6 linked regions of the Xenopus tropicalis genome follow. The protein of the gene in region 1 binds, or shares a complex with, the protein of each later gene. Links are inferred from orthologs where the notes say so. Each region holds a gene or a part of one and is shown in the gene's direction. Other genes may lie near its edges.

What was found.
Region 2: cacna1c (region 1) and cacnb2 share a complex: the UniProt entries of both Homo sapiens proteins name them as parts of the calcium channel complex. The link is inferred for Xenopus tropicalis from reciprocal best matches to the Homo sapiens genes CACNA1C and CACNB2.
Region 3: cacna1c (region 1) and cacnb1 share a complex: the UniProt entries of both Homo sapiens proteins name them as parts of the calcium channel complex. The link is inferred for Xenopus tropicalis from reciprocal best matches to the Homo sapiens genes CACNA1C and CACNB1.
Region 4: cacna1c (region 1) and stac3 share a complex: the UniProt entries of both Homo sapiens proteins name them as parts of the calcium channel complex. The link is inferred for Xenopus tropicalis from reciprocal best matches to the Homo sapiens genes CACNA1C and STAC3.
Region 5: cacna1c (region 1) and cacng1 share a complex: the UniProt entries of both Homo sapiens proteins name them as parts of the calcium channel complex. The link is inferred for Xenopus tropicalis from reciprocal best matches to the Homo sapiens genes CACNA1C and CACNG1.
Region 6: cacna1c (region 1) and cacnb3 share a complex: the UniProt entries of both Homo sapiens proteins name them as parts of the calcium channel complex. The link is inferred for Xenopus tropicalis from reciprocal best matches to the Homo sapiens genes CACNA1C and CACNB3.

The regions. Positions count from the first base shown.
Region 1 is NC_030679.2:8,936,422-8,940,843, reverse strand, and holds part of cacna1c (voltage-dependent L-type calcium channel subunit alpha-1C), read left to right. Parts: intron 1-1,165; coding exon 1,166-1,326; intron 1,327-2,574; coding exon 2,575-2,800; intron 2,801-2,927; coding exon 2,928-3,135; intron 3,136-3,773; coding exon 3,774-3,894; intron 3,895-4,087; coding exon 4,088-4,202; intron 4,203-4,422. UniProt on the Homo sapiens protein: Pore-forming, alpha-1C subunit of the voltage-gated calcium channel that gives rise to L-type calcium currents. Mediates influx of calcium ions into the cytoplasm, and thereby triggers calcium release from the sarcoplasm.
Region 2 is NC_030682.2:28,261,345-28,266,380, reverse strand, and holds the start of cacnb2 (voltage-dependent L-type calcium channel subunit beta-2), read left to right. Parts: upstream 1-1,646; 5' UTR 1,647-2,237; coding exon 2,238-2,321; intron 2,322-5,036. UniProt on the Homo sapiens protein: Beta subunit of voltage-dependent calcium channels which contributes to the function of the calcium channel by increasing peak calcium current. Plays a role in shifting voltage dependencies of activation and inactivation of the channel.
Region 3 is NC_030686.2:10,416,822-10,421,104, forward strand, and holds the end of cacnb1 (voltage-dependent L-type calcium channel subunit beta-1), read left to right. Parts: intron 1-776; coding exon 777-1,196; 3' UTR 1,197-1,922; intron 1,923-2,251; 3' UTR 2,252-3,329; downstream 3,330-4,283. UniProt on the Homo sapiens protein: Regulatory subunit of L-type calcium channels. Regulates the activity of L-type calcium channels that contain CACNA1A as pore-forming subunit.
Region 4 is NC_030678.2:140,076,386-140,081,545, reverse strand, and holds the start of stac3 (SH3 and cysteine-rich domain-containing protein 3), read left to right. Parts: upstream 1-1,902; 5' UTR 1,903-2,010; intron 2,011-5,160. UniProt on the Homo sapiens protein: Required for normal excitation-contraction coupling in skeletal muscle and for normal muscle contraction in response to membrane depolarization. Required for normal Ca(2+) release from the sarcplasmic reticulum, which ultimately leads to muscle contraction.
Region 5 is NC_030686.2:51,108,125-51,112,867, forward strand, and holds the end of cacng1 (voltage-dependent calcium channel gamma-1 subunit), read left to right. Parts: intron 1-836; coding exon 837-911; intron 912-1,045; coding exon 1,046-1,183; intron 1,184-2,505; coding exon 2,506-2,732; 3' UTR 2,733-3,563; downstream 3,564-4,743. UniProt on the Homo sapiens protein: Regulatory subunit of the voltage-gated calcium channel that gives rise to L-type calcium currents in skeletal muscle. Regulates channel inactivation kinetics.
Region 6 is NC_030678.2:135,903,526-135,908,693, forward strand, and holds the start of cacnb3 (voltage-dependent L-type calcium channel subunit beta-3), read left to right. Parts: upstream 1-1,645; 5' UTR 1,646-1,756; coding exon 1,757-1,798; intron 1,799-5,168. UniProt on the Homo sapiens protein: Regulatory subunit of the voltage-gated calcium channel that gives rise to L-type calcium currents. Increases CACNA1B peak calcium current and shifts the voltage dependencies of channel activation and inactivation.

The DNA.
Region 1 (4,422 bases):
TTTGGGGACCGCATCAATGAGCCGATGTGGTTCCCGATCCGACTAAATCTTTTAACCTGCCCGATCGATATCTGGCCAATTTCAGGCCAGATATCGGTGGGGCAGGCCCCTTCATTGCTGCCCCTTTATGGGCCGCTTAATTGCCGAATTGGTCCAAGGGACCGATATCGGCAGTTACAATCGGCCCATGTTTGGCCACCTTTAGCCGAGGAAGAAACTTTGCGACCATTAAGGTCCCCATACACAGCCTATTCTAGCTGCCGATATGGGTCCCTTAGACCGATTTGGCAGCTAATAGGCCCTTCTTTGGGCACTAACGATGGGCCTGTCGGATCGGGGACAGCATCGGCTCGTTGATGCGGTCCCCGGACCGACTTTGCCTATACCCGTCGTTATAATTCGATCGTTTGGCCCCAGGGATCCTCCCAATACATTATTTTTCTTGTTCTTTCCCTGTTTTACAAAACTAATGCTTTAGCTTCCTTAGTTGGACACCAACCAGAAGGTTCCAAAGTTCCGGAACTTATTCTGCATGCTATATGGGTCTTTTTTCGTAAAAAGGGGATTGACAGTGAAGTTGAGGGAAGCAAAGTCCAAAAGCCCCAGGTCGCTAGAATCAAGGATCCCAACATCTGAAAGGCAACCCAAGTGAGCAGTTGTCTACAGGAAGGTTGATAGACGCATGGAACAGTCTTCTTGAAGATCAATCCTTGAACTAGTCTCTGTTAAGGTCCCCATACACGGGCCGATAGAAGCTGCCGATATGGGTCCCTTGGACCGACTCGGTAGCTTATCGGCCCGTGTAGGGGCAGAAACGATCGGACTGGCCGACCGATATTTCAGGCCAGATATCGGTCGGCCAGGTTAGAAAATCCCGTCGGATCGTGGACTGCATCGGCTCGTTGATGCGGTCCCCGAACCGACTGCCCCATTGCCGCTTGCAGAATTCGATCGTTTGGCTCCAGGGCCAAACGATCAAATTCACCGACATGCCTCCCCGATATCGCCACCCGTAGGTGGGGATATCGGGTGAAGATCTGCTCGCTTGGCGACATCGCCAAGCGAGCGGATCTGCCCGTGTATGGCCACCTTTACTCCTCACTCTGATATCATGTGCCAGCTGACATTTTGCTACTCATAACCATGTTTCTCCTGTCTTCCATAGTCGGTACTGGCGGAGATGGAACCGGTTTTGCAGAAGGAAGTGTAGGGCGGCTGTAAAATCAAACGTCTTTTATTGGCTGGTTATATTTCTTGTGTTTCTGAACACTCTGACCATCGCTTCTGAGCACTATAACCAACCCGATTGGCTTACCGAGGTACAAGGTAAGCAAGTGTTTCTATGTAGGCGATACAACTGGGTAATGATCCCATTTGATATATACAGGTATAGGACCCATTATCCAGAATGCTCGGGACCAAGGGTATTCCGGATAAGGGGTTTTTCTGTAATTTGGATCTCCATACCTAAGTCTACTAAAAAATCAATAAATAATGAATTTAACCCAATGGGATTGTTTTTAATCCAATAAGGATTAATTATATCTTAGTTGGGATTAAATACAAGGTTCTGTTTTATTATTACAGAGAAAAGGGAATCATTTAACCATGAAATAAACCCAATAGGGCTGTTCTGCCCCCAATAAGGGGTAATTATATCTTAGTTGGGATCAAGTACAGGTACTGTTTTATTATTACAGAGAAAAGGGAATCATTTAACCATGAAATAAACCCAATAGGGCTGTTCTGCCCCCAATAAGGGGTAATTATATCTTAGTTGGGATCAAGTACAGGTACTGTTTTATTATTACAGAGAAAAGGGAATCATTTAACCATTAAATAAACCCAATAGGGCTGTTCTGCCCCAATAAGGGGTAATTATATCTTAGTTGGGATCAAGTACAGGTACTGTTTTATTATTACAGAGAAAAGGGAATCATTTAACCATTGAATAAACCCAATAGGGCTGTTCTGCCCCCAATAAGGGGTAATTATATCTTAGTTGGGATCAAGTACAGGTACTGTTTTATTATTACAGAGAAAAGGGAATCATTTAACCATTAAATAAACCCAATAGGGCTGTTCTGCCCCAATAAGGGGTAATTATATCTTAGTTGGGATCAAGTACAGGTACTGTTTTATTATTACAGAGAAAAGGGAATCATTTAACCATTAAATAAACCCCAATAGGGCTGTTCTGCCCCAATAAGGGGTAATTATATCTTAGTTGGGATCAAGTACAGGTACTGTTTTATTATTACAGAGAAAAGGGAATCATTTAACCATTAATTAAACCCAATAGGGCTGTTCTGCCCCAATAAGGGGTAATTATATCTTAGTTGGGATCAAGTACAGGTACTGTTTTATTATTACAGAGAAAAGGGAATCATTTAACCATTAAATAAACCCAATAGGGCTGTTCTGCCCCAATAAGGGGTAATTATATCTTAGTTGGGATCAAGTACAGGTACTGTTTTATTATTACAGAGAAAAGGGAATCATTTAATGTCTGTTGTCACAAATTAAATTGACACATAAGGCCTTATCATATTTCATATTCTCCTCTATTCGCAGACACAGCCAACAAAGTGCTCCTGGCTCTCTTCACAGCAGAGATGCTTCTCAAAATGTACAGCCTTGGCCTGCAAGCCTACTTTGTTTCCCTGTTTAATCGGTTTGACTGCTTCATTGTGTGTGGTGGGATCTTGGAGACCATATTAGTCGAGACTAGGATCATGTCACCCTTGGGAATCTCCGTGCTGCGCTGTGTGCGCCTTCTCAGGATATTCAAGATTACCAGGTATCCGACTAACTATTTTCTGTAGGTATGCATACATGATAGCTGTCGGACTCGGCAGAGCAGTATGAGTGCCCTTCTGATAATCTCGCTGCTTATATTCACAAATAATTCAGTTCTGGTTTTGCAGGTACTGGAACTCTCTGAGTAATCTTGTGGCCTCGCTGCTGAATTCCGTGCGCTCCATCGCTTCCCTTCTCCTCCTTCTCTTCCTCTTCATCATCATCTTTTCCCTTCTGGGGATGCAACTCTTTGGCGGCAAATTTAACTTTGACGAGATGCTGACCCGCAGGAGCACGTTCGATAACTTCCCACAGGCTTTGCTTACTGTCTTTCAGGTGCAGGGATAACATTTTTTTTTATTAATGTCAAGGAAACATTATTGCGTGTGGGATAAGGGGGTTCAGATTAAAGGGCCACCATACCTTGATTTTATAAATGGCTTTGCCGTTGCCTCCCAGGCTTGCTGACTGGATCCTTTTTACCTCCTATAGCAGCGGTTCTCAACCTGTTGGTTGGGACCCCTTTGGGGGTTGCCGAAGACCATCGGAAAACACATATTTTATGGTTGGGGGTCACTACAACATGAGGAACCGTCTTAAAGGGTCACAGCATTAGGAAGGTTGAGAACCACTGTCCTATAGGCTTTCCATTGTGTTGTACATTAAGCCAGAACACAACATGGTCTATCAACCCAAGGAGTTTGGTGTGACAGCACTGCAGGTTCCAGTTTATTACCCACCCCTACTAAATAAAATATATAAAAAGCCCAGTAAATTATATGAAGGCCCAGGCCTATGGTGGCAAGAATTTAGGGGTGGCATATCACCCTGTCCTTAGTGCAGCTCCATTCTGTAGAGTGCAGTAAAGGGCTTGTCCCGGCCTATGGTTGTGTTAATATGTTACGTGCATTATACGTTCTAGACTAGCAGTGTTTTATTCAGTTATACTGGAATGTGTTATTTTTTCTGCCTAGATCCTTACCGGAGAGGACTGGAACTCAGTAATGTATGATGGAATCATGGCATATGGGGGACCCTCCTTTCCTGGGATGCTTGTGTGCATTTATTTCATCATACTCTTCATCTGTGGAAATTGTATCCTTTGTCTTTGCACTCTTGCCCCGAGATTCTTCCTTGCGATAGTATTGTGTACACCTGTGTAAAACATGAGCCTTATCAGTTGGGCTTGAGTTGGAAACTTGTTCTTCCTGATCTCTCAATAGGATTTCTATTGGTTCCAGATGAACAGTAGGTCATAGGTGTTGTAGACCTTATCTTCTGCAAACAGATATACTTCTGAATGTCTTCTTGGCCATTGCTGTGGACAACTTGGCCGATGCTGAGAGTCTTACCTCTGCTCAGAAAGAGGAAGAAGAAGAGAAGGAGAGGAAGAAACTAGCAAGGTCTGATTGCGTTAAAAATGAATATTCCGTTGCTTAGTGCCATATATTAAATCTAGAACATGATGTGCTCTCACACGAATCAACCCCTAATTCTTATAGTATTAGTACAAAAATATATTTATACTAATAGATGTAAGAAGCTTATGACTTTGCTTTAAACGAGCTATACATGGACCTCATAGTGGCAGCAAATCAGAATCTGTGCAACTTATTCCATTCT
Region 2 (5,036 bases), on another chromosome or scaffold:
ACCATTGAGGATTTGGGTTGGGTCAGACTGGGGTATTATGTTCCCCCTATGGGTACAGGTTGGGTGAGTTGTTGCACCTCTAGTTCATAAACATCACCAGTCTGGGGTACTACGTGCTGAGCACCATACTGCCATTTTCTTTTCATTTCCCAGGTCTCCCAGTTCAGGTCCCAACTGGGAACATCTAAGTGTTATGCTTAGAAATCATTACCCTGGGCATTTCTTAGGGACCATGAGTGCCAGTGTAGCGTAACAGGTGAACATATAGAATGCCCAGCACCTTTCAGTTAATTCAAGGTCTGAGCAGGGGCGGGCCAAGCCGACCGTGCGCCCTAGGCAACCCGGTCGGCCAACTCCGCCCACCTCCCCGGTTAGTCGGTCATTGCCTCCGCCGCTAATGACAAGCGGTGGAGGCAATGACAAATTAGCACTAGGGGTAGGCAGGAGAGTCTGCCTGGTGCCCCTAAATCGTTGCGCCCTAGGCAGCTGCCTCTTCTGCCTACCCTAGTTCCGGTCCTGGGTCTGAGAGATGGTTTGTAGAAAATTGATTTCTTTAGAAAGCCTGGCACACTAGAATTCTGCACTGGGTCAGGTAACCACAGAATCCTGCAAAGTAGATTTAGGGTTTTGGGCAGAAACCACTAATTTACTGACTATGAAGCCAGTGGGTACCCTCCTTGTGTGATAGGTAATACAGTTATAGGACCTGTTATCCAGAATGCTCGGGACCAAGGGTACACAGGCACACACAGACACACACAGGCACACATAGACACACACAGGCACACACACAGGCACACAGAGGCACACACTCACACACACAGGCACACATTCACACACACAGACACACACACAGGCACACATTCACACACAGAGACACACACACAGGCACACAAAGACACACACAGACACACATAGACACACACAGGCACACATTCACACACACAGGCACACACAAGCACACATTCACACACACAGGCACACACAGACACACATAGACACACACAGGCACACACAGACACACACTCACACACAGACACACACAGGCACACACTCACACACACTCACACACACAGACACACACAGGCACACATTCACACACAGACACACACAGGCACACACTCACACACACAGGCACACATTCACACACAGGCACACATTCACACACACAGGCACACATTCACACACAGGCACACACAGACAAACACAGGTACACACAGACACACACAGACAGACACAGACACACACTCACACACACAGGCACACACAGACAAACACAGGCACACACAGACACACACAGACAGACACAGGCACACACAGACACACACTCACACACACAGGCACACACACACAGGCACACACAGACAGACACAGGCACACACAGACACAGACACACACAGACACTCACAGGCACACACACACAGACAGACACAGGCACACACAGACACACACAGACACTCACAGGCACACACAGACACACACAGACAAACACAGGCACACACAGACACACACTCACACACACACACAGGCACACACTCACACACACAGGCACACACAGACAAACACAGGCACACACAGACACACACAGGCACACACAGACACACACTCACACACACAGGCACACACTCACACACACAGACACACACAGACAGACACAGGCACACACAGACACACACAGGCACACACAGACACACACAGACAGACACAGGCACACAAGTTCAGTCTGACTTTCCCACACTGAAGCAGAACCATTTTCTCACACCATCTCTCACACACAGTATCATGTGACCAGGCTGTGGCTCAGTGTGTGGAGGAAAAGAAAGAAAGTAAGAAGTATGAGGCGGCTGCTGCCAGAGAGAGAGCTGCAGTGTTATGAGGAGAGAGGCAGGGAAGCAGCTCTTGCTCAGACCCTTTAGATGACTGAAGCCCATTATGGGAACCTGGGGACCCAGCTGGATCAGAAGCAGCTCAGAACTCCCAGCTGAAGCCCTGGCTCTAGACACTCCTTCCTCCTTAGTGATGCCTGTAGGGGAGGCGGCTGAACTGTAGCACTCACAGGGAGTCACAGCGAGTGGAGCTGCAGGAAGGGGGGAGCTGCCTTCAAGGAGCACCTGGAATATCAGTGATAGTGATGGAAACTGTTTAAGTAGAAAGGCTACTGTGGCTAGTGCTGAATGCAAGTGGCAGCCTGACCGCTTTACTTTATCCAAGTATCCTGCTGACTCTCCTTTATTCCAATGGTCCAGAATAACATGTCCAAGTCTTCCTCGGCATCACAGCAGGAGATCCATATGGACTCGCTGGAGAACCCCGCCGTGCAGGTACTGTGCCCCCTAAACCTTCCTGGGACCGCTGATTGGTTGGTTCCAGGCGAGAGCAGATGATGGAGCTGCCACTTTCTAGTAGAAGAATCTCACACTAAAGAGTTAATGACAGGAACCGACAGCCCTAAGGGAGTGTAAAAGCCATGCTTTGCACTTGTATCAGCTCTGCGTGTGCAACCAGCATATTACATGTGGGATTTTATTTTTCCCTAGCAGTTTCTTTACTTTCTTATTATTTATAAACAAATCATTAAGCTGTAGCCTATAGGATAAACCCATGTAAATGGGATTTTTTTTAGGAGTTTGGAATTCATTCCCAGAATTCCTTTTGTTTGTTTATTATTTATACAAATTTAGAAAACTAAGCACAGGTTTTTGGGACCAGTGTTTCATACTGAATGAACCCCAGAAACACTTGTTTCATGATTATAGTGCATCTGTAGGGGAGCTGTGCCTGGGTACATATGTATACATCTATTCTGTAAAGTGCTGCGTAAATTGATGGCGCTATATAAATAATAATAATATTAATTATAAAGTGTATATATATATATATATGTATATGTGTGTGTGTGCTGCCTTCACTGGTGACTGTTGCTGCAGGTTGGAACTCCTGCATCCCTATTAATGTCTATACACACTATAATCATACTCCTTTTGTGTGTGTGCTGCCCCATACATTGCATTGTGTACAGTCCCTGCATTATGAATACAGGTATGGGATCCCTTACCCGGAAACCCGTTATCCAGAAAGCTCCGAATTACGGGAAGCCTGTCTCCAGTAGACTCCATTTTAATAAAATAATATAGAATTTTAAAACTGATTTACTTTTTCTCTGTAGTAATAAAACAGTACCTTGTACTTGATCCCAACTAAGAAATAAATAATCATTATTGGGGCAAAACAATTCTATTGGGTTTAATTAATGTTTTATTGATTTTTTTAGTAGACTTATGGTATGGGGATCCAAATTACGGAAAGACCCCTTATCTGGAATACCCTTGGTCCCAAGCATTCTGGATAACGGGTCCTATACCTGTACTATGGAAGGTGTTTAATAGATATATTCACTGCTGCCGGATATATGTAGTAGGATTACTATAGGAAGCAGCAGTAAGCAGCCATGTGCAAGATTTCCCTAAGAAGATCGCAGACATTTGAATATTTGTTCCCATACTGCTTGTCTTCTACGGAGGGAGAGGGGGGGGGGGGGGGTCTGGAGTCTTGGAAGCAGGGCAGTATTTTCTAAATAGAATAAGGGGTAATTATATCTTAGTTGGGATCAAGTACAGGTACTGTTTTATTATTACAGAGAAAAAGGAAATCATTTTTTTCACCTGGCAGGTGGCTCAGACTATGGGTCAGTGGCCCAGTTATACAGGTATGGGACCTGTAACACATTATCCAGAAAGTTCTGAATTATGGGAAGGCCATCTCCCATAGACTCTATTTTAAACAAATAATTCTAATTTTTAGAAATGATTTCCCTTTTCTCTGTAATAACAAAACAGTACCTTGTACTTAATCCCAACTAAGATATAATTACCCCTTATTGGGGGCAGAACAGCCCTATTGGGTTTATTTAATGGTTAAATGATTTCCTTTTTCTCTGTAATAATAAAACAGTACCTTGTACTTAATCCCAACTAAGATAATTAATCCTTATTGGAGGCAAAACCATCCTATTGGGTTTAAAGGGATAGTTCACTTTTAATATGTTATAGAATGGCCAATTCTAACCAACTTTTTAATTGGTCTTCATTATTTAACTGTTATAGTTTTTGAATTATTTGCCTTTTTCTTCTGCCACTTTCCAGCTTTCAAACGGGGGTCACTGACCTCCAGCAGCCATATAACTATTGCTCTGTGAGGCTACAATTTTATTTATTTGTTTTTATTATGTTTTATTTGTTATTGATACTTGTTATTACATATCTTTCTATTCAGCCCCTCTACAATTCATATATCAGTCCTCTCAAACCACTCCCTGGTTAATAAGGTAAATTGGACCCTAGCAACCACATAACTCCTGAACTTCCAAACTGGAAAGCTGCGGAACAAAAAGTAATATAATTATAATATAAATAATTAAAAAACTACCAATAAAAATGAAGACCAATTGCAAATTGTCTCAGAATGAACTCTCTACATCATATTAAAAGTTAACTCAAAGGTGAACAACTCCTTTAATGTTTGAATTATTTTTTAGCAGACTTATGGTAGAGAGATTCAAATAAAGGAAAGATTGCTTTTCCGAAAGAGCCCAGGTCCTGAGCATTCTGGATAACAGGTTCCATACCTATAGTATTTTTTGTGAAACACGTCTCTTTGGTCTCCTATATGCAAGTGCAGCTTTAATGAATGTGTGGAGTCAACATTAATATGCTGTCCTACATATTCTTGGGGCAATATACAGTATCTTTAGCCTTGTTAGGAGCTAGTCAGGGCTATAACCAAATGTTTCATCTCAAAGAGGGCTTGAGATCAAGACCATGCCCTTAGGGTTTTCCTGCTTGGGAAGCACTGCACTCCCAGCTGTATTTTTAACTCACAAATGCATATGTATTAAAGTTGCAGTTGCTATGCGGCATATTTACTAAAGAAAAAAGTTAAAATGTGAAGTATTTTGGGAAAAATAAAAAGTCACCACAACAGCAGCAATTTACTAATAGGAGAGCATGACAAGTTTTGGTGAATTGACTTTGCATTGG
Region 3 (4,283 bases), on another chromosome or scaffold:
TTTCTTCTGCTGTTCCTTGGAATCTCCATAACTTCTCCTAGTGTTCCATGCAGTCTCCATAATTTCTTCTGCTGTTCCATGGAATCTCCATAACTTCTCCTAGTGTTCCATGCAGTCTCTATAATTTCTCCTGCTGTTCCTTGGAATCTCCATAACTTCTCCTAGTGTTCCATGCAGTCTCCATAATTTCTTCAGCTGTTCCATGGAAGCTCCATAACTTCTCCTAGTGTTCCATGCAGTCTCCATAATTTCTTCAGCTGTTCCATGGAAGCTCCATAACTTCTCCTAGTGTTCCATGCAGTCTCCATAATTTCTCCTGCTGTTCCATGGAAGCTCCATAACTTCACCTAGTGTTCCATGCAGTCTCCATCATTTCTAGTACTGTTCCATGGAATCTCCATAACTTCTCCTTAAAGATTGATATTACACCTACAACTCCTGTTCTTTCACCTACCAACTCATCCAATTATTTAACACCTTTTGCATTTTTCTGAGCCTGATTTTTTTACCATATTTTTTCCCAGAATTCAGGTGTATCTGCCTGTTAGTAGATGGTGCACACAAGCTGCAATACACCCTATATTAATTGTTTAATAGCTCTGCTATGTAACTCCATGAAAGTATTATCTTAATGCCTTTTTAATCCTTTCCTGGCTGGGCAGTGTAAGGCAGTGTAGTTGAATATTTGCTTGAAATGTTCTAACCTACTTTTATGTGTGCATGCTTTTAACCCTTCTGCTCCTGTTTCTGCATGCTTTGTCTGTCTTACTAACCAGGGTTCCTACTTGGTACACGGGGAGCTGAGGCCGGATGGAGCAGATCAGATGGGTATGTACGAGGGGCAACTTCGGAGAGGTCAGATGGGCTCTCGCATCCTTTCCCGACATGACACGCTGGAGTCGGAGACACAGGGCAGTCGGGACTCTGCCTACACAGAGCCAGGTGATTCCTGCATGGACATAGAGACTGACCCTTATGAGGATCCAGAGCCTAAGAGCCAAGGAGGAGAGACCAGGAGGCTCCAGCGTCAAGGGTCTTGGGAGGAGCTGGGTCCGGATCAAGAGAACCTACTGCAGAGGAGAAGGAGGGAATCTCCAAGGCCGCAAGGGAAAGGCAGGGAGCAGTACTGGCATGAAGGGGATGGCAGGAACAGGGGGCAGCTGGACAGCTGGGGTAGAGATGTATGTATTCGTTAGGCCTGGGCATAAGGGAACCACACAACTCAAACACACACTTCCCTTAGCATTCGACTGTATTACCCTAGCCTCTTCTGCCTACTGTACAGTTCTGTTTCACTCCTCATTCTCGGCATCTTGCATTACATTTACTCCAGAAGCATTGCCATCTGTAACACCCCCAATGCCCTACTGCCACCACCCGTTCCTTTTTACACCTCAGGGCTCTTACATGTAGCCACTGGACTTTCCTCTGGTTCTCTTTAACCATCACTGCCCTGTGATCTACGGACATTCCTACTGCCCTGTGACTCTCTCTCTCTCTCACTCTTTGCACTATCAATGCTACCCACTGTCTCTTTGCACCAACACTGCCCTTTTGCAATCTAACTGCACTGACACTGCCCTATGACACTCTGCACTGACTTGTATTCATTCCCTGCCCTTTGTGCATTTCCCACTTCTCTGGGATCAACTCACAGCACTAACAGTGCCCAGTGACCCAGTTACTGTACCATGTCTACAGACCTACTGATTGTACGACATTGCCTTCTCATCGCCCACTATCCTTATCCTAGCCCACTTCAAGCCTGGACTGGCAATCTGTGGGGTCTGGCAAATGGGGCTGCTGAAAGATGCTATAGACAGTCACTATTTATTGGGCTGGGGGGGTCTGTTTGTGCCTCTGGGTACTGGGAATGCCAGGGGGGCTGTAAGGTGCCACAGACAGTCACTATTTATTGGGCTGGGGGGGCTGTTTGGGCCTCTGGGTACTGGGAATGCCAGAGGGGCTGCTGTAAGATGCCATAGACAGTCACTATTTATTGGGCTGGGGGGGGGCTGTTTGGGCCTCTGGGTACTGGGAATGCCAGGGGGGCTGTAAGGTGCCACAGACAGTCACTTTTTATTGGGCTGGGGGGGCTGTTTGTGCCTCTGGGTACTGGGAATGCCAGGGGGGCTGTAAGGTGCCATAGACAGTCACTATTTATTGGGCTGGGGGGCTGTTTGGGCCTCTGGGTACTGGGAATGCCAGAGGGGCTGTAAGGTGCCATAGACAGTCACTATTTATTGGGCTGGGGGGGCTGTTTGTGCCTCTGGGTACTGGGAATGCCAGAGGGGCTGTAAGGTGCCATAGACAGTCACTATTTATTGGGCTGGGGGGCTGTTTGGGCCAATGTGTACTTGGAATGCCAGGGCCTATTTTGATTTCCAGTCCAGGCCTGGGCCACTCTCGTAGTCTCACTTCCCCAACACACATTGCACTATCAACCCAGCAATTGCACAACGCTGTCCTCATGAGAACCCAGTGTCTTGTAGTACCCTCTTTGCACTACCCCAGTCTCAGCTCCCTGATTTAGAGAGGAGGAAGAAGCCCTTCCAAGCCAGTAGCAACCCCCACGTTCCAAGCTCCTCCTGCACCCCTTATAGAAACGAGTACCAGGTCTCCGGCAGCCTGACCTGTTGGGGGTTTCGGAGAGACCCCACCACCCCACTCAACAATGTGCCATAAACTGACTTGCTGGAGAGAAGAATGCATACCACGAATGTATTACACACTTTGTGCCAGAAGGGACAGCCTCTCTTAGAGCTGACGAATTACCCACATATCTGGAAACATTGCCCCCCCCCCCCCCGTGACTAGCCGGGCGGAAGGAGTTAACAGATGCCTGATGTATACACGTGCCTGCATATGTTGATCATTTTTTTTGCCTGCGGTTCCTTTCATAATAATGATTCCTGCTTGGTTTGTGTTCCTAATTTGTACCGACCAAAGGGTTTTGGCATTGAGTATTCCCAGCACAAGCTTTTTCCAAAGGGACGAAGATTGTCGTTTTTTCATTGTGAGTTACTTTTTTGGTTTTTTTTTTGGTTTTTTTTTTGGACTTGTTTGTAGTAGAATCTTCAGAGGCCCATTCTCCGCTCATATTGGTTCAGGCCCAGAACTTCCGAGGGATACAGTGAGATATATACATATATAGGTGCCGAAAGTGTATTCATCCCTTCCTCAGATATCTCTTGATCTAGTTTATGTGAATATATATATTTATAAACATGAATTCAATGTATGCATTGTATAAACAAGCCTCTTAAATGATTTATACATACATTTACACGTATTTATACAGTCCTAATTAAAACCTGGTAAGATACTTATATATGTATATATACATGACTGCCTACCGTGGGATAAGCAGGGTGCGATTTGTACGCCGTAATGACTGGATCAATACTGATATTAAAGGATATGTAAACCCTCAAAACAAATCAGTGTGATGCAGCTTAGAGCGCCCTTTTGCAACCTACATTATTATTATTTTTATAGGTTTTAAGATATTAGCAGTTTATGATGGATTTTTAAAGAACAGCGCCACCTGCTGTTGATTTTGGACAACTAGATACAGTTGTTCACCTTTGAGTTAACTTTAAGTATGATATAGAGAGTAATAGCCTATGACAATTGCAATTGGTCTTCATTTTTTATTGTTTGTAGTTTTTTTAATTATTTCAGCTTTTGTTTAGCAGCTCTCCGGTTTGGAGGTTGAGCAGCTACTTGGTTGCTAGGATTCAAATTGCCTTAGTAACCACGGTGTGGTTTGACGGATGTATGAATAGGGGAGGACCTTAATAGAAAAATAAGTAATTAGGGATGCACCCACTTTTTTGGGTTTGGCTGAACCCCCGAACTCACTCTGAAGGATTCAGCTGAATCCCGAACTGAATCCGAATCCTAAATAATTGGGATCGGAAGGGGTTTAAAATCTTTTTCACCTGACTATTTAACCCTTTCCGAATGCTAATCAGCATAGGCCAATTAGGATTCGGTTCGGCCGAAACCGAATCCTTAAAAAAAAGCCAGGACTCGGCCGAATCCCGAACCGAATCCGGGATTCGGTGCATCCCTATAAGTAATATAAAGTAACAATAATGATTAAACTGTAGCTTTACAGAGCAATAGGTTTTGGTTACCAGGGTCAGTGACCCCCATTTGAAAGCTGCAAAGAGTTGGAAGAAGAAGGCAAATAATTCAAAAACTATAAAAAATAAATAATAAAGACCAATTGAAAAGTTGCTTAGAATTGGCCTTTCTAAAATATACTAAAGGTAAAC
Region 4 (5,160 bases), on another chromosome or scaffold:
ACCGTTGCAGAGATCTAATGTTTTTTATAGACCGAAACATAAATGTGCTGCTGACTTGCTGTTAACTGAAATTGTTAAATGAAATGCAAAAGCTATTTCTTAATTAGCAGAGAGACCCTTAATGTCTGTTTTAGAGAAAAAGGGTAATACTTCCCCTTAATAGTTTCATGGTGTGGGAACATCCAAGGCCAGGGTAAGTGTAAGGGTAGAGCAGAGACAGTGAAGATACAAAGTTTCAGTACATACCTGCAGCCCTCTAACTGTTACTGACTTGTAGCTTCAGCAGGTCAAACCCATGTTGTGTGGTTTGTTTGGCTTCCCCATTATCTGCTCTTTGTATGAAAGATGCTCTGCCATATATAATAGGGTGACAACCCTGTGCCTCCTCTAAACGGGTGACATTTAATTGTTTTTATTATCACTGGTTGATCATTTGTACCACTATTCCATCTGCTGATCAAGATGTTGCCCTGCGCATGGTGCATCAGCAGACGAGCAAACTGGTGCTGGAAACACATATAAACTTATAGCTGCTCCATTCTAGAAAGTTAACCCCCCCCCGTAACAAATCTAGCTGCACATTAGCACTAAACGGAAGAGCGTCACAATAAAATGTACACTTTTTTATGCTATGAGAATAATTCTCCAGATTTTGAACAGAATAAAAAAAAAAATAGAATGTTGTGTTCTTTGGTCATCAAGGAGACTCATTGGAGACTCCCCTGCCCCCCTGAATTGGCTTCTGTGCCCACTCCCATATGAATCCCCACACCTGCCTGTTCTCTTACCTGAAAGCTGACGCGGAGCAGAGATTTATATGCAGTACTGGAGGAAGCAACCCCTGTGGTCCGGGCCCCCCTGTCCCCTGCCCCCCCCCCCATCCTGGTGACTGTGGGGTCTGCTTCCTCCATTCTTACGCCACTGTTAACTTTTAGTATGATGTAGAGAGTGACATGCTGAGACAATCTGCAGTTGGTCTTCATTTTTTATTATTGGTGGTTTCAATGCATTTAGCTTTTTGTTTAGCAGCTATTCAGTTTGGAATTTTAGCAGCTATCTGGTTGCTAAGTTTCAAATTACCCTAGCAACCAGGCAGTAGTTTGAGACTGGAATATGAATAGTAGAGTGGATGAATAGAAAGATAAGTAACCCCCGTTTGAAAGCTGCACAAAATGATACAAAAAATATAAAAAGACCATTGAAAAGTTGCTAAAAATTGGCCATCCCATGAAATTAATTTAAAGGTGAAACACATTTCCTGAAATTATTATAACAGAATGTTTAGAGCCAGTGTTGGAATGTTTTGAGTCTCTTGAATTCTATCCATGGAATGCAGTGAATGTGTTGGGTAAAATATCTTCCAATGCTTAGCATACTGACTGCCATTTTTATATTACACAAAGCATATAAACTGGTGATTCCCCAACACATAACCTTTAGTATTTCACAGAGCAATTTAATCTAAGCAATCTAAGCTTTATAGATGTTTTTCTTTCTTCTGAATAATTTACCTTTCTGTTTGCCTCCCTTCTGGAATTCCTTCTGCCAAACCACAAACAGGCCTGAAGCCTTTTCCTGGCATTTCATATTCATTAGTGGGAAAGAGGGAAAAAAAAGCACATTTAAAACCAAAACATATTATCATTTCCAAGTTGAATTCCAGTAAAAATAGGAATTGTTTTGTGTGTGTGACAAACTCCCAGGAATGAAATGACTCCTGCGCTTTCCTCAGTTTCCCACCTCTCAGCCACCTCTCCAATTCCTGGTTGGGCCTACTGCCTCCGTGCTATGGCTGCTTGTAAAGTTTCCGATTTCTCTGTGTCAGCCTTTGCCTCTCAGCTGTCCTGTCACCTCCACACTTGTCACTCCCTCTCCTCTGAGGAGCAGTTTGTTTCATTATCTGAGAGGAGTGAACGAAGGATCTCTGTGCCCCTCACCTAAGGTCTGAAAGTGCCTTCTGAAGACAAAATGTTCCAGTAGATCCCCATCTGAGAACTACAGGTGTGTAAGGTTTGTCTAGGCATTGTACGCCATTTCTGTTTGCCCTTTAATGCTTCTTTGTATTTCCTTTTAAATGATCTTTATGCCACATAAAACAAAATATCATGTACCTGCTTGGATTTCATTTTAGTTATCTTGTAAAGAAAATTCCACATACACAATGTTTCGGCCACATCAAGGTTGTTAATAAATATATTGATCTTTATCATTATTTATAGCAATGATATATTTTTGTGAGTTTAAATACAGTGGAACTGTAGTGTTTCAGCTGAGGCAGAAGCGCAGGGATTCTGATAGTTGTAGTTCAGCAAGAATTATGGGGGAAAGGGGGCAAGATGCCTATTCCTGAAATAGGCACATTACCTTGGTTTCATTTGCTTTTCTGACTATAGCAAGTCACTAACAAATGCTTAACACAAATTGTAAGCTCTTTAGACAAAGATTTATTGCTTTACAGGGGATGCAATCATTATAGTGTTTGTTCTAATACTTTAGATCACTGTATAGGGATTTCTTGTGACAGTGATTTATTTCAGTTTTAGAAATATTTTATTTATCTTTATGTTTGCATTTAATGTCTATATCCTGTTACTTCTGCCTTATGGCTGAGATTCTAGCTATCCTTATAAAATAACATTTGGTTATAAGAGTCATGGAGCACCGGTCCGGAACCCACTGTTTCCATCACTGCAGCCTTTACAGTCCTTAAATGGATACACGGAATGCTGGAAAACTAAGCTTAGGCAGCGCAAACCAAAACACTGTTGCAATTTGATTTTATATCATAAGTAAAAGAAAATCGAACAGATCTTGTTTCTTTAAGTCTTGCCTAGTAGTTAAAACATTTTTCAAACATTCTACTGCTTATTCATTCCCCCCGACATTATAATCTGATAATTTTTTTCATGCTGTGAAACAAGTTGGCTGCCATACATTTTAGAGAACCAATAAAATAGCTTATAGGCATATCTTATCTAATCGACTCATTTTCAAAACCCACTGTGATCACCCATCTTTCCTCCCAGTGTGTAAGCAATAAACTTTAGTGGGTGTGTCAGTGGCACTTTGCCAAACATCCGCTTACATTCCTGCCAATGCTGATTAAAAATGGGGATATTTGTGGCCATGTTTCCACTCCACAAGACCACACCCAAACCTGCCCATAACTCCACCCACTTTTCAGTAAGCCTGCGACCATTTCATAACCCAAAACATGAGACTGCCCTAGCTAAAATGGAATGGTTAGTGGCCAAAAAAATTGTCTTCTCTTGTCTTTAACTTTTATTTATTCTAGGATAATTCCATACTAGATATGTTAGGGGATCTAATGTAATTTAATCTCTTTACCTCTTGTTTGGTCCTAATAGCTGCCTCCTGGGGCTGTAAGGTAGTGTGAAACACACACATCACTCAGGTGCTGCCAAAGACTCCCCAATAAGAAACACCAGTATGTTCTTCCATTCAGTAGCAGCCTTTATACATGTACAGTATGTGTGTGAGTATGAGTGCCAGCATCTACATCTACTTCCATCCAAATATTTTGGAAGGTGCTTTCTCTTTACAACAAGATGCAAACTGCCTGTGTCACATTCACTGTTTCTGTCCTGTCTTTGGACACATAAGCTGTTAATTTTAACCCCTCGCATCTACAAAAAGTATACAGTCAGCTGCCAAGCCTTTAGAATTTGTGTGGGATGATGTCCCATCAGAGCGCTCAGACAGAGTACAGCTGTTATCAGCCATCAAACATGGCTTTTAATATCTCCAGGGCTTCAGTTACACTGCTTACGAAAATAGTTTGTCCACAAAACCCCAAGCACTGTCTGTGGTTAATATACCGAAAGCTTCAGGCGTCTATGGTTTTCTGCTTGCTGTATTTGCGTAATTATACTGCATGCATTCAAACAATGGTATTTAAACAATGTGTAGGTGGCATATAGGAATACAGCTGGTAGGGAGTATGGCGCCAACAGCTCTAGAACACCCTTGTGATGAAAGAATTTTCATAGTTCCAGAACGTTCAGTGAACTAGTGGTTCTCTGTACAAAATACGATGATGAAAGAATTTTCATAGTTCCAGAACATTCTGTGAACTAGCGGTTCCCTGTACAAAATATGAGATGAAAGAATTTTCATAGTTCCAGAACATTCTGTGAACTAGCGGTTCCCTGTACAAAATATGAGATGAAAGAATTTTCATAGTTCCAAAACATTCAGTGAACTAGCAGTTTTCGGTACGAAATACAATGTTCTGTTGCTTCATTAGATTACACATGGCACCCATAGGGATCCTCAAAGAAAGCATTTACTGACTGGATCAGATGTCGGATACAGGTATGAGATCTGTTATCTGGAAACCATTTATTTAGAAAGCTCCAAATAATGGAAGGGGACATCTCCCATAGACTCAATTTTACCCATATAATTTTATTTTTTTTTCTCTGTAATTATGAAACAGTGCCTTGTACTTGATGGTAGCTAAGCTGTGAATCCATATTGGTGGTAAAACCATCCATTGGGTTTGTTTAACGGTTTAATTATTTTTTTTTTTGTGGACTTAAAGTATGAAGATCCAAATTATAGATCCATATAGATTGTAAGCTCTACGGGGCAGGGACCTCCTTCATCTTGTGTTTCTGACTCTTATTCCAACTGCACCTTGTATTTATTGTTGTACTTTGTATTTATCCATTATCTTTTGTATTTATCCATTATCTTTAACCCCCTGTCTGTATTAATGAATTCTACTGTACAGCGCTGCGTACATAAGTAGCGCTTTATAAATAAAGATATACATACATACATTATGGAAAGAACCCTGAGCCTTCTGGAAAACAGGTCCCATACCTTGAACACACAGATATAATGCTAGTTAGCACAATCCTGTATTTTAGCCTCATGTATTTGGATTACTCTGTAGGCTACTGTATCTAGATAGCAGCCAAAATAAACTTATGGTAAGTCAGTATTTATGAATCAACCATTTTTATGGCAGTGTACAAAGGGGGCGAAAAATTAATAGAGGCTGAATCCTGCCTTTTTGAAGCTCAGCTGTTCTGTGACAAAGCTGGCGGCTCCAGAAAAAGGTTGTCATTACATTCTGACTCAGAGAGGCATGGGATTGATCTCTGCATTCGTTACATTCTTTTGTTCTTCAGA
Region 5 (4,743 bases), on another chromosome or scaffold:
TAGGACAAGATGGGGACAGTAGGACAAGATGGAGACAGTAGGACAAGATGGGGACAGTAGGGCAAGATGGAGACAGTAGGACAAGATGGGGACAGTAGGACAAGATGGAGACAGTAGGGCAAGATGGAGACAGTAGGGCAAGATGGGGACAGTAGGGCAAGAGGGAGACAGTAGGACAAGATGGAGACAGTAGGGCAAGATGGGGACAGTAGGGCAAGATGGAGACAGTAGGGCAAGAGGGAGACAGTAGGGCAAGAGGGAGACAGTAGGGCAAGAGGGAGACAGTAGGGCAAGAGGGAGACAGTAGGGCAAGAACGCCAAGTAAAGTAACATGGCAGCCAATCCCCTGCCAAGAAAGACCCCCTTACACAGGGACCCACATACAATAAGGAATTGCCCCCCACAGAGTCACCCCACTCTCACACTCACCCTACAGCACAATCAATAACCAATTGGGATCAATACCGATAGACAGATACAAAGCTGAACGTGGGAGCAGTTTAACCATGTGAGTGCCACATGGCCAAGGGAATATGGTCAGGGGGGTGGAGCCAAATCTCTAATAATCGGTGCAGGGAATCCCATGGGAATAAGGTCAGGGGGGTGGAGCCAAATCTCTAACAATCAGGGTGCAGGGAATCCCCAGAACCCCAGAGATAACAGCAGTTGTTCCTATTGGCTGTCGATAGCTACAAGGCAAAGACCTGATGATAAAATAATCACTTGCATCAAGTTCAGTCCGACTGCCAAACTGGTACCTGGTTGCTAAGCACAGTTACCTTAGCAACCAGATGGCCGCGCAGAGTGATCTGACCCCCGTTGTGTTGCCCCCCCAGAGCACAGCTGCACCTACTTCAAGCATTTCACTTCAGGGGAGAACGCGGATATTTTCGAGGTGACGACGCAGAAAGGTGAGGGGCCCATTGTGACATCACTGTGCGTTTGTCTCCCCAATGTCCCTGCCCCCCCAACCCTCGTTACTCGTTGTGTATGTCCCAGAAGCCTCCACTCTGCCCTCTCACCCCCTGATCTTGCCCCCCCCCAGAGTACAGCATCTCGGCAGCCGCCATCGCCATCATCGGAGTGGGGTTCATGACTATGGGCACAGTGTGCACCCTGCTGTCCTTCAAGGAGAAGCTCGACTACCTGCTCAAACCCGCCGGCCTCTTCTTCATCTTTGCAGGTTTGTACCCCCAGTGCCCCTAGAAACCCCCATGTCTCTGCCACACTCAGGGGCAAATCAGGGAGGCAACAAATCCGCCAACATTGTAAGCCAACAAGGCAAGGGGGCTAGGGCACCCACTCATAGCAGCCTACAGGGGGAGGGGCAGGGAGTCTGTGACTCAAGCAGTGGGTGGGACTAGAGCCCTCTGATGGCAGCTTATAAGGGGGAGGGGCAGGGAGTCTGTGACTCAAGCAGTGGGTGGGACTAGCGCCCTCTGATGGCAGTTTATAGGGGGAGGGGCAGGGAGTCTGTGACACAAGCAGTGGGTGGGACTAGCGCCCTCTGATGGCAGTTTATAGGGGGAGGGGCAGGGAGTCTGTGACCCAAGCAGTGGGTGGGACTAGAGCCCTCTGATGACAGTTTATAGGGGGAGGGGCAGGGAGTCTGTGACACAAGCAGTGGGTGGGACTAGAGCCCTCTGATGGCAGTTTATAGGGGGAGGGGCAGGGAGTCTGTGACCCAAGCAGTGGGTGGGACTAGAGCCCTCTGATGACAGTTTATAGGGGGAGGGGCAGGGAGTCTGTGACCCAAGCAGTGGGTGGGACTAGAGCCCTCTGATGACAGTTTATAGGGGGAGGGGCAGGGAGTCTGTGACCCAAGCAGTGGGTGGGACTAGAGCCCTCTGATGACAGTTTATAGGGGGAGGGGCAGGGAGTCTGTGACCCAAGCAGTGGGTGGGACTAGAGCCCTCTGATGACAGTTTATAGGGGGAGGGGCAGGGAGTCTGTGACCCAAGCAGTGGGTGGGACTAGAGCCCTCTGATGGCAGTTTATAGGGGGAGGGGCAGGGAGTCTGTGACACAAGCAGTGGGTGGGACTAGCGCCCTCTGATGGCAGTTTATAGGGGGAGGGGCAGGGAGTCTGTGACTCAAGCAGTGGGTGGGACTAGAGCCCTCTGATGGCAGTTTATAGGGGGAGGGGCAGGGAGTCTGTGACCCAAGCAGTGGGTGGGACTAGAGCCCTCTGATGACAGTTTATAGGGGGAGGGGCAGGGAGTCTGTGACCCAAGCAGTGGGTGGGACTAGCGCCCTCTGATGGCAGTTTATAGGGGGAGGGGCAGGGAGTCTGTGACACAAGCAGTGGGTGGGACTAGAGCCCTCTGATGACAGTTTATAGGGGGAGGGGCAGGGAGTCTGTGACCCAAGCAGTGGGTGGGACTAGAACTCTATGATGGCAGCTCACAGGGGGAGGGGTTTGTGCTCAGCCAATGCAATACATCCAGTTAAACAGCTGAATTCCCATCTAAGAAACATTAGATTAACCCCCGGCTTGCCGTTGCAGGGCTGTGCATGATTATCTCGGCGGAAGTGATCAGACAGTCGGTGCACCGGATGATAGACAGTAAGGAGACGGTCTGGATCGAGTATTATTATTCGTGGTCCTTCGCCTGCGCCTGCGCCGCCTTCGTGCTGCTGTTCGTGTGCGGCGTCGCCCTGGTGCTCATCTCCCTGCCGCGCATGCCCAGGAACCCCTGGGAGACCTGTATGGACGCGGAGCCCGACATGTGAGGGGAGATTCCGGGGGGTCACGGACCGGAGATGGACCCCCGACATTCACTGACTGAACTCAATGGGCGAGTGAGGGCAGAGGGGGTGGCGCACCCCAATATCTCGCTTCTTTCCTGTATAGTGTAAGCTCCTCCCCAAGGCTTGGCCAATGGCGTAACCAGGAATTACTGGGCCCCACAGCAAATTCATTTTGGGCCCCCACCCCCTGTATGGAACCCCTCTGGGTGTGTAACTAGTGGGAGGGGGATTTGGGGGCCCCCACCCCCTGTATGGAACCCCTCTGGGTAACTAGTGGGAGGGGGATTTGGGGGACCACACCCCCTGTATGGAACCCCTCTGGGTAACTAGTGGGAGGGGGATTTGGGGGACCCCACCCCCTGTATGGAACCCCTCTGGGTAACTAGTGGGAGGGGGATTTGGGGGACCCCACCCCCTGTATGGAACCCCTCTGGGTAACTAGTGGGAGGGGGATTTGGGGGACCCCACCCCCTGTATGGAACCCCTCTGGGTAACTAGTGGGAGGGGGATTTGGGGGCAGCCCCCCTACAGCAGCTGGGATTCTCTCCCTGCCCCCAGCACCTTTATTTACTGGATTATTTCACTGGCTTTAAATAGCGTCCCCCGGCCTGTGCCCCCCCCCCCATTACAGGAATAGACACCGACCCATAGGGAGACTGAGGGACTCACAGGGCGTCGTTACAGCTGCAGAGTCGGGGGGCTCAGGGGGTGGGAAGATATGAGAAATAATGTGTGACTTTGGCCTTTGTGGTGTTTATCTAATCACTGAATGTCTTTAAATTTCAAGGGTAAATAGAACCAAGTTTTACTTTATCATCTGTGCATTTGCCTATTTCTATGGAAAGGGAGCTGCCATAGTGCCCAAGGGTGCCAGGAGCTGCCATAGTGCCCAAGGGTGCCAGGAGCTGCCATAGTGCCCAAGGGTGCCAGGAGCTGCCATAGTGCCCAGTCCTCCTGGAAATCATCTCTGGGGTGGGGGCTGAATGGCATCTCTGATTGGCCAAGCGACATACCTTCTCCATATGTGACTGCAATGACAGCACCAGGTACACCAACTGTATCATAAAAATACACCTACAGGGGGCACCGGGGGTTCTACAATTACAGTAATACACCTACAGGGGGCACCGGGGGTTCTACAATTACAGTAATACACCTACAGGGGGCACCGGGGGTTCTACAATTACAGTAATACACCTACAGGGGGCACCGGGGGTTCTACAATTACAGTAATACACCTACAGGGGGCACCGGGGGTTCTACAATTACAGTAATACACCTACAGGGGGCACCGGGGGTTCTACAATTACAGTAATACACCTACAGGGGGCACCGGGGGTTCTACAATTACAGTAATACACCTACAGGGGGCACCGGGGGTTCTACAATTACAGTAATACACCTACAGGGGGCACCGGGGGTTCTACAATTACAGTAATACACCTACAGGGGGCACGGGGGTTCTACAATTACAGTAATACACCTACAGGGGGCACCGGGGGTTCTACAATTACAGTAATACACCTACAGGGGGCACCGGGGGTTCTACAATTACAGTAATACACCTACAGGGGGCACGGGGGTTCTACAATTACAGTAATACACCTACAGGGGGCACCGGGGGTTCTACAATTACAGTAATACACCTACAGGGGGCGCCAGCGGTTATAGTTACACTATTGCTACCAGCGGTTACCAGAAGGACTATAAATACATTACCCCTGAAGGGGCACCAGCAGTTATACAATCAGAGTATTGCCCCACATGGGGCACCAGGAGTTATACAATCAGAGTATTGCCCCACATGGGGCACCAGGAGTTATACAACCAGAGTATTGCCCCAGGGGGGCACCAGCAGTTATACAACCAGAGCATTGCCCCAGGGGGGCACCAGGAGTTATACAACCAGAGTATTGCCCCAGGGGGGCACCAGCAGTTATACAATCAGAGTATTGCCCCACATGGGGCACCAGGAGTTATACAACCAGAGTAT
Region 6 (5,168 bases), on another chromosome or scaffold:
TGTACAATTTTCTGGGATAAACCTTCTGTTAGTGGAATTTTGGCCTTGAAATCCAAAGTATGCAGTTTTTTTGGAGCAGTGCTTTGGGAATTTGGTAGTGTACTGCTGGGAGTTTTTGACCTATACAAGTGAGAAATCTCCATAAAACTATATATATTTGGTATTGGCACGTTCAGGAGACATGGGACTTTCCAAATCAGTTGTATATTCGTGCATAAAATAATTTTTGTTTCTAGTATGTGTGATTATATTATGGAAAATTTGATTTTTTTTGCATTTTTAGACATTTAGAAGCCTATATCTTGTTACAGAATTGGAATTACACAAAAATTCTACCATATTTTGAAAGCTTAGGTTGTTCTGAAAAAAACGATATATTGTTTTCCTTGGTAAACTAAAAGTCCCCCCGAGGAAAGGCCCCTAAAGTGAAACAGTGCAAAATGTTCAAAAACTGTCTGGCAATACAAGTTCCGCTTTGACCAAAATGGCTGGCAGTAGAAGGGTTAAACCCTTCCAAAACCTAATAAGAATATACTAATTAGGATTCGGACTCGGTTTGGTATTTGCCCAACTCTTTTACGAAGGATTCGGGGATTTGGCCGAATCCGAAAAAGTGGATTCGGTGCATCCCCATAATACATAGTAACACCAACCTGGATTAGAGTCCATCACATTCAACTTGTAGGAAACATTTTACAAATTGATTTAGAAGAATGGGAGCTGCCAGTTGGGGCACACAGAGAGGAATGATTTCCTTCTGAACTGATTAAACTAAACTGATTCTGAATTATTCCCTTCTAAACTTAGAAAGGTAAATTGCAAACTAATTAGCCTAATATGGACTTACCCCATGTTCCATCTTCCCTCCAATATCAACACAATTAGTGGCCATTTGGCAAAGCACTGGTGGATACAATTTCTTATTCCGCAATAGAAGAGTTGAACTTTCATTTTAAACAATGAAAATTCAACTCTCAATAGTTTCAAAGGTGGCTTTTTGCTGTTCTCACCTTGCCATATGGCAGGAGCGGCCCTGCTGCCTAACACAGGCAGCACTGTATTCACTGAGGCTGTCACAGGTGCAGAGACCTGTGGCAATTCAAAAATGTGGAAGGCAGTGTGCAAAGTGCAAACTTAAGATTGCACCCTTTATTTGCACTTTGCAGCCTGCCTTTCACTTAGTTAATGACTCCCTATAGTCTTTATAGAACTCATATCTCCATCTTTTTCCATTCAATATAATGAAAGAAATTGATCAAGGCTTCTATCACAATGTGTAGTTACTCCTGCTGTATATCCATCACTGAACATGAGCTCATAGCCCTGCCAATAAAGGTCATTGCCTGTAGATGTGGAATTATTGCTCATTGTGAGTGGCCTTAAAGGACAGGGAATGGTAAGCTATGTGCCGGGGGCTGCTCCTTGCAGAATAAAAAAAAAATCCATTTGTGCCTTTCAAAGATTTTTTTCCCCCCCATTGTGTTGCCACAAGCCATTAATACAATTATTCGGCACTTAAATGTCTGTGAATCCATTATTTCAGCCAGGCTTAGGCACTGAGAGGTGGAAATGAAATGAGAGAAACAGAAGGAGGAGTAAGAGAGGCAGGGAAGGGGAGAAATTGTGTGTTTTGTGTGTGTTTGATGGAGAGAAAAGCTATGAGCACAGCGAGGCAGATAAACAGAGAATGCAAAGTCTGCTTTGTATATAAAAAAAGCTTCTGAGAGTGCGGCTTTGGGCTATTTATGCCCCTTCTATGTCTTTCTCTGACTCCAGTGCAACATTTCTTCTGAATGAGGTAACCATTTGCCTTTCTTTACTGCCTTAAAGGGAAGGTTAGTGTTGTTGCATTGAGGGCTATTTTATCTGAAGAACAGAGCAGCTTTTTGGGGATGTGCAATGAGCCATGTTGTGCTTAGTGCTTTTAATATAAAACCTCTTGCTTTTTACTGAAACACAGAAGAATGGTAAACAAAGGTAAAGGTGGGGATAAAAAGGCACAGGGGATAGGTACCACCATTGACCACAAACAGAAAGAAAACTGGGAAGGGGCATGCTGGTACATTAATATTGTGTGTGTGGGGGGGGGAAGCAGTGAATAGGGATACTACTAAATTGTCTTCTATAGGATTATGAGCAACACCAATGTCACTGTACTTTGTTGTATTGAATCGTTAGTGTATGAATCCAAAAATAAAGGTTAAAAATTAATAGTAATAAGGCACCATACACTCGGCAAAAGGAAAACTTAAAAGGCAGTAGCTATTGCCAGGTGGAATGATCTTTTATTATATGGAAATGTATAAGAAGAAAAAACAAATAGACAGCGATCATGGAGAAACTGACAGCTGCTGACAAGCAACAAATGAACATGATTTAGCCAGGGAGGGAGGCTGAGACGGAGGGAAAAGGATCAGGCATGACAGGCTCTGGCTCAGCTGGATTGCAAGAGATGGCTCCTAATCAGCTTGTCTCTGATTTTAATTGACTGTTAACTATCTCATCATTGCCTTCTTTCCCAAACCACCCATAATCCACGGCTGTGTTGAAATCAGCTTTTACACTTGCCTCCATTATCCTACCTACATGCCATGGTTCTGTTTTCTCTGTGACTAATAACATAGATTTGCTGAGCTACACATATAATAAGCAGTCGGGCCCCACTAACCCAATAGTCCTTGGTGGATTTACATTAGAAATTAGAGTATTTTTATCTGCCCAGAACCATTAAAGTGGAGATTCATCTTAAAACGAATTTACAGCATGGGAATGCTGTTCTTAGTCAATATCATCATCATTTATTATTATAGCACCAGAAATATCCAGTTTTGATTTTGATTTTTCTTTGTGATGGTTTAATTATTTCTGCTGCTGTGTTGTTAAAAGCTGAGCTTGTGTGGTTGCTAGAGTAAAGCTGGGCATACAATGTAAGATCCTCTTATTTGGCATGGTCACCAATACATGTTTCAATAAGCTGCCAAAGGATCAAGTCAGCACCTTTTATGAGCCCATGTATGGCAACATTACAAGGGATAGTGGTTTCAATGGCAGACTGGACACAGAGCCATTTCTGCAATAAGTGCAAATCACACCCAGAAAGTACTTTACACTGGTAAAAACAGAACCAATTTTCTATTGTAGCGCATTTGCTCACAGATGGCAGCAAAAACAAAAATTTTATGGTTTTCATGTTCTTTTCCTTTTCATTCTGCATTTTTATTCGTTTGTGCTTTTTCAATTTGGATCTTTTAATAAATGACTAGACCTTCATAATTTTAGTGGAAATGAGTTTAGTTGTGGTTTCAAAAAACTTATAATTATAGTTAGTGGATTAAACTAAATACAGGTATGAGATCCATTATCCAGATAAATAAATCATATCTTGAAAAAATATTTCCTTTTCTCTGTAATAATAAAACAGTATTATACAATTAATCCTTATTGGAGGCAAAACAATCCTACTGGGTTGATTTAATGTTTACATTTTTTTTTTAGTGCCGATCCAAATTATGAAAAAGACACCTTATCTGGAACACCCAAGGTCCTGAGCATTCTGGATAACAGATCCTTTACCTGTATAGTGACTCTATATGGTCTTATTGTTGGCCCAAGTGCTCTGTGTTACATAAGCCTGATTTTGGCCGCAACTTGATGTGCTAAATTGGCCAAAGATTTATTTGTTTGCCATCTAAATGAGTACATTTTACGCTGTTTACCCTATATAGCTGGCCATCTTTGGTGATCACAAAAGGACTGTTTCGGGATATAAATGTGCATGTTTTAAGATACATTAATGGCAATTAATGGCAATGATAAGGGTTACGTGAAAGAACATGAATTGTTAGATTTAGGCCTTAAAACTAATGCCACAAGGAGTGTATTTTCAGCAAGCCTGAAAAATGTAACAATTGGCCTACCTTATGCCTGCACCCGAATGAGTGGAATACACTGGGGGCAGGCACATGTAGCCGATATCCACCAAAAAACGTGAGACTTTGCATTTTCAGCAGATATTCACTGTGGGCCCTATCACTAGAATGTAAAGGCTGCTCCCCTCCATAAGTATGCCATTGACTGTACTCCTTGCCATGTGTAATGTACAAAAACATCATAATGATGTCACTACTAAACATGCGTTAATGAGTTTGCAAGTCGGTGCAGAAATGCAGAAAACAGATTGTTGCTGGGTTTGAGCATACTGGGGACGTGGCCAATTAGGCATATGGTGTCCCTCCCTCTATTTTTTTAGACAACCCTGGTTGGAGGGATGGGTAAAGCATTCTGTTCCTCCCCTAATTCATTCCTTGCTGGAATTCTGTGGCCCCTATCCATACATAAGACATTGCATGAAACTGTATGTTTCATGCAATGTCTTATGTATGGATAGGGGCCACAGTTATGCACAGATACATATGAAGGCTCATTTCCAAAAAGAGTACAATGTGCAATGTACAAACTGCAAAATTCAAATGCAAATCACCATTTTTTTTCAGCATAAAGCAGGCAGAGTATGACACACACAGGCAGCATAGGGCAGGCAGAGTATGGCACACACAGGCAGCATAGGGCAGGCAAAGTATGGCACACACAGGCAACATAGGGCAGGCAGAGTATGGCTCGCACAGGCAGCATAGGGCAGGCAAAGTATGGCACACACAGCCAACACAGGGCAGGCAGAGTATGGCACACACAGACAACATAGGGCAGGCAGAGTATGGCACACACAGGCAGCATAGGGCAGGTAGAGTATGGCACACACAGGCAGCATAGGACAGGCAAAGTATGGCACACACAGGCGGCAGCATAGGGCAGACAAAGTATGGCACACACAGGCAGCATAGGGCAGGTAGAGTATGGCACACACAGGCAGCATAGGGCAGGCAGAGTATGGCACACACAGGCAGCATAGGGCAGGCAGAGTATGGCACACACAGGCAGCATAGGGCAGGCAGAGTATGCCACACACAGGCAGCATAGGACAGGCAAAGTATGGCACACACAGGCAGCATAGGGCAGGCAGAGTATGGCACACACAGGCAGCATAGGGCAGGCAGAGTATGGCACACACAGGCAGCATAGGGCACGCAAAGTATGGCACACACAGGCAACACAGGGCAGGCAGAGTATGGCACACACAGGCAACATAGGGCAGGCAGAGTATGGCTCAC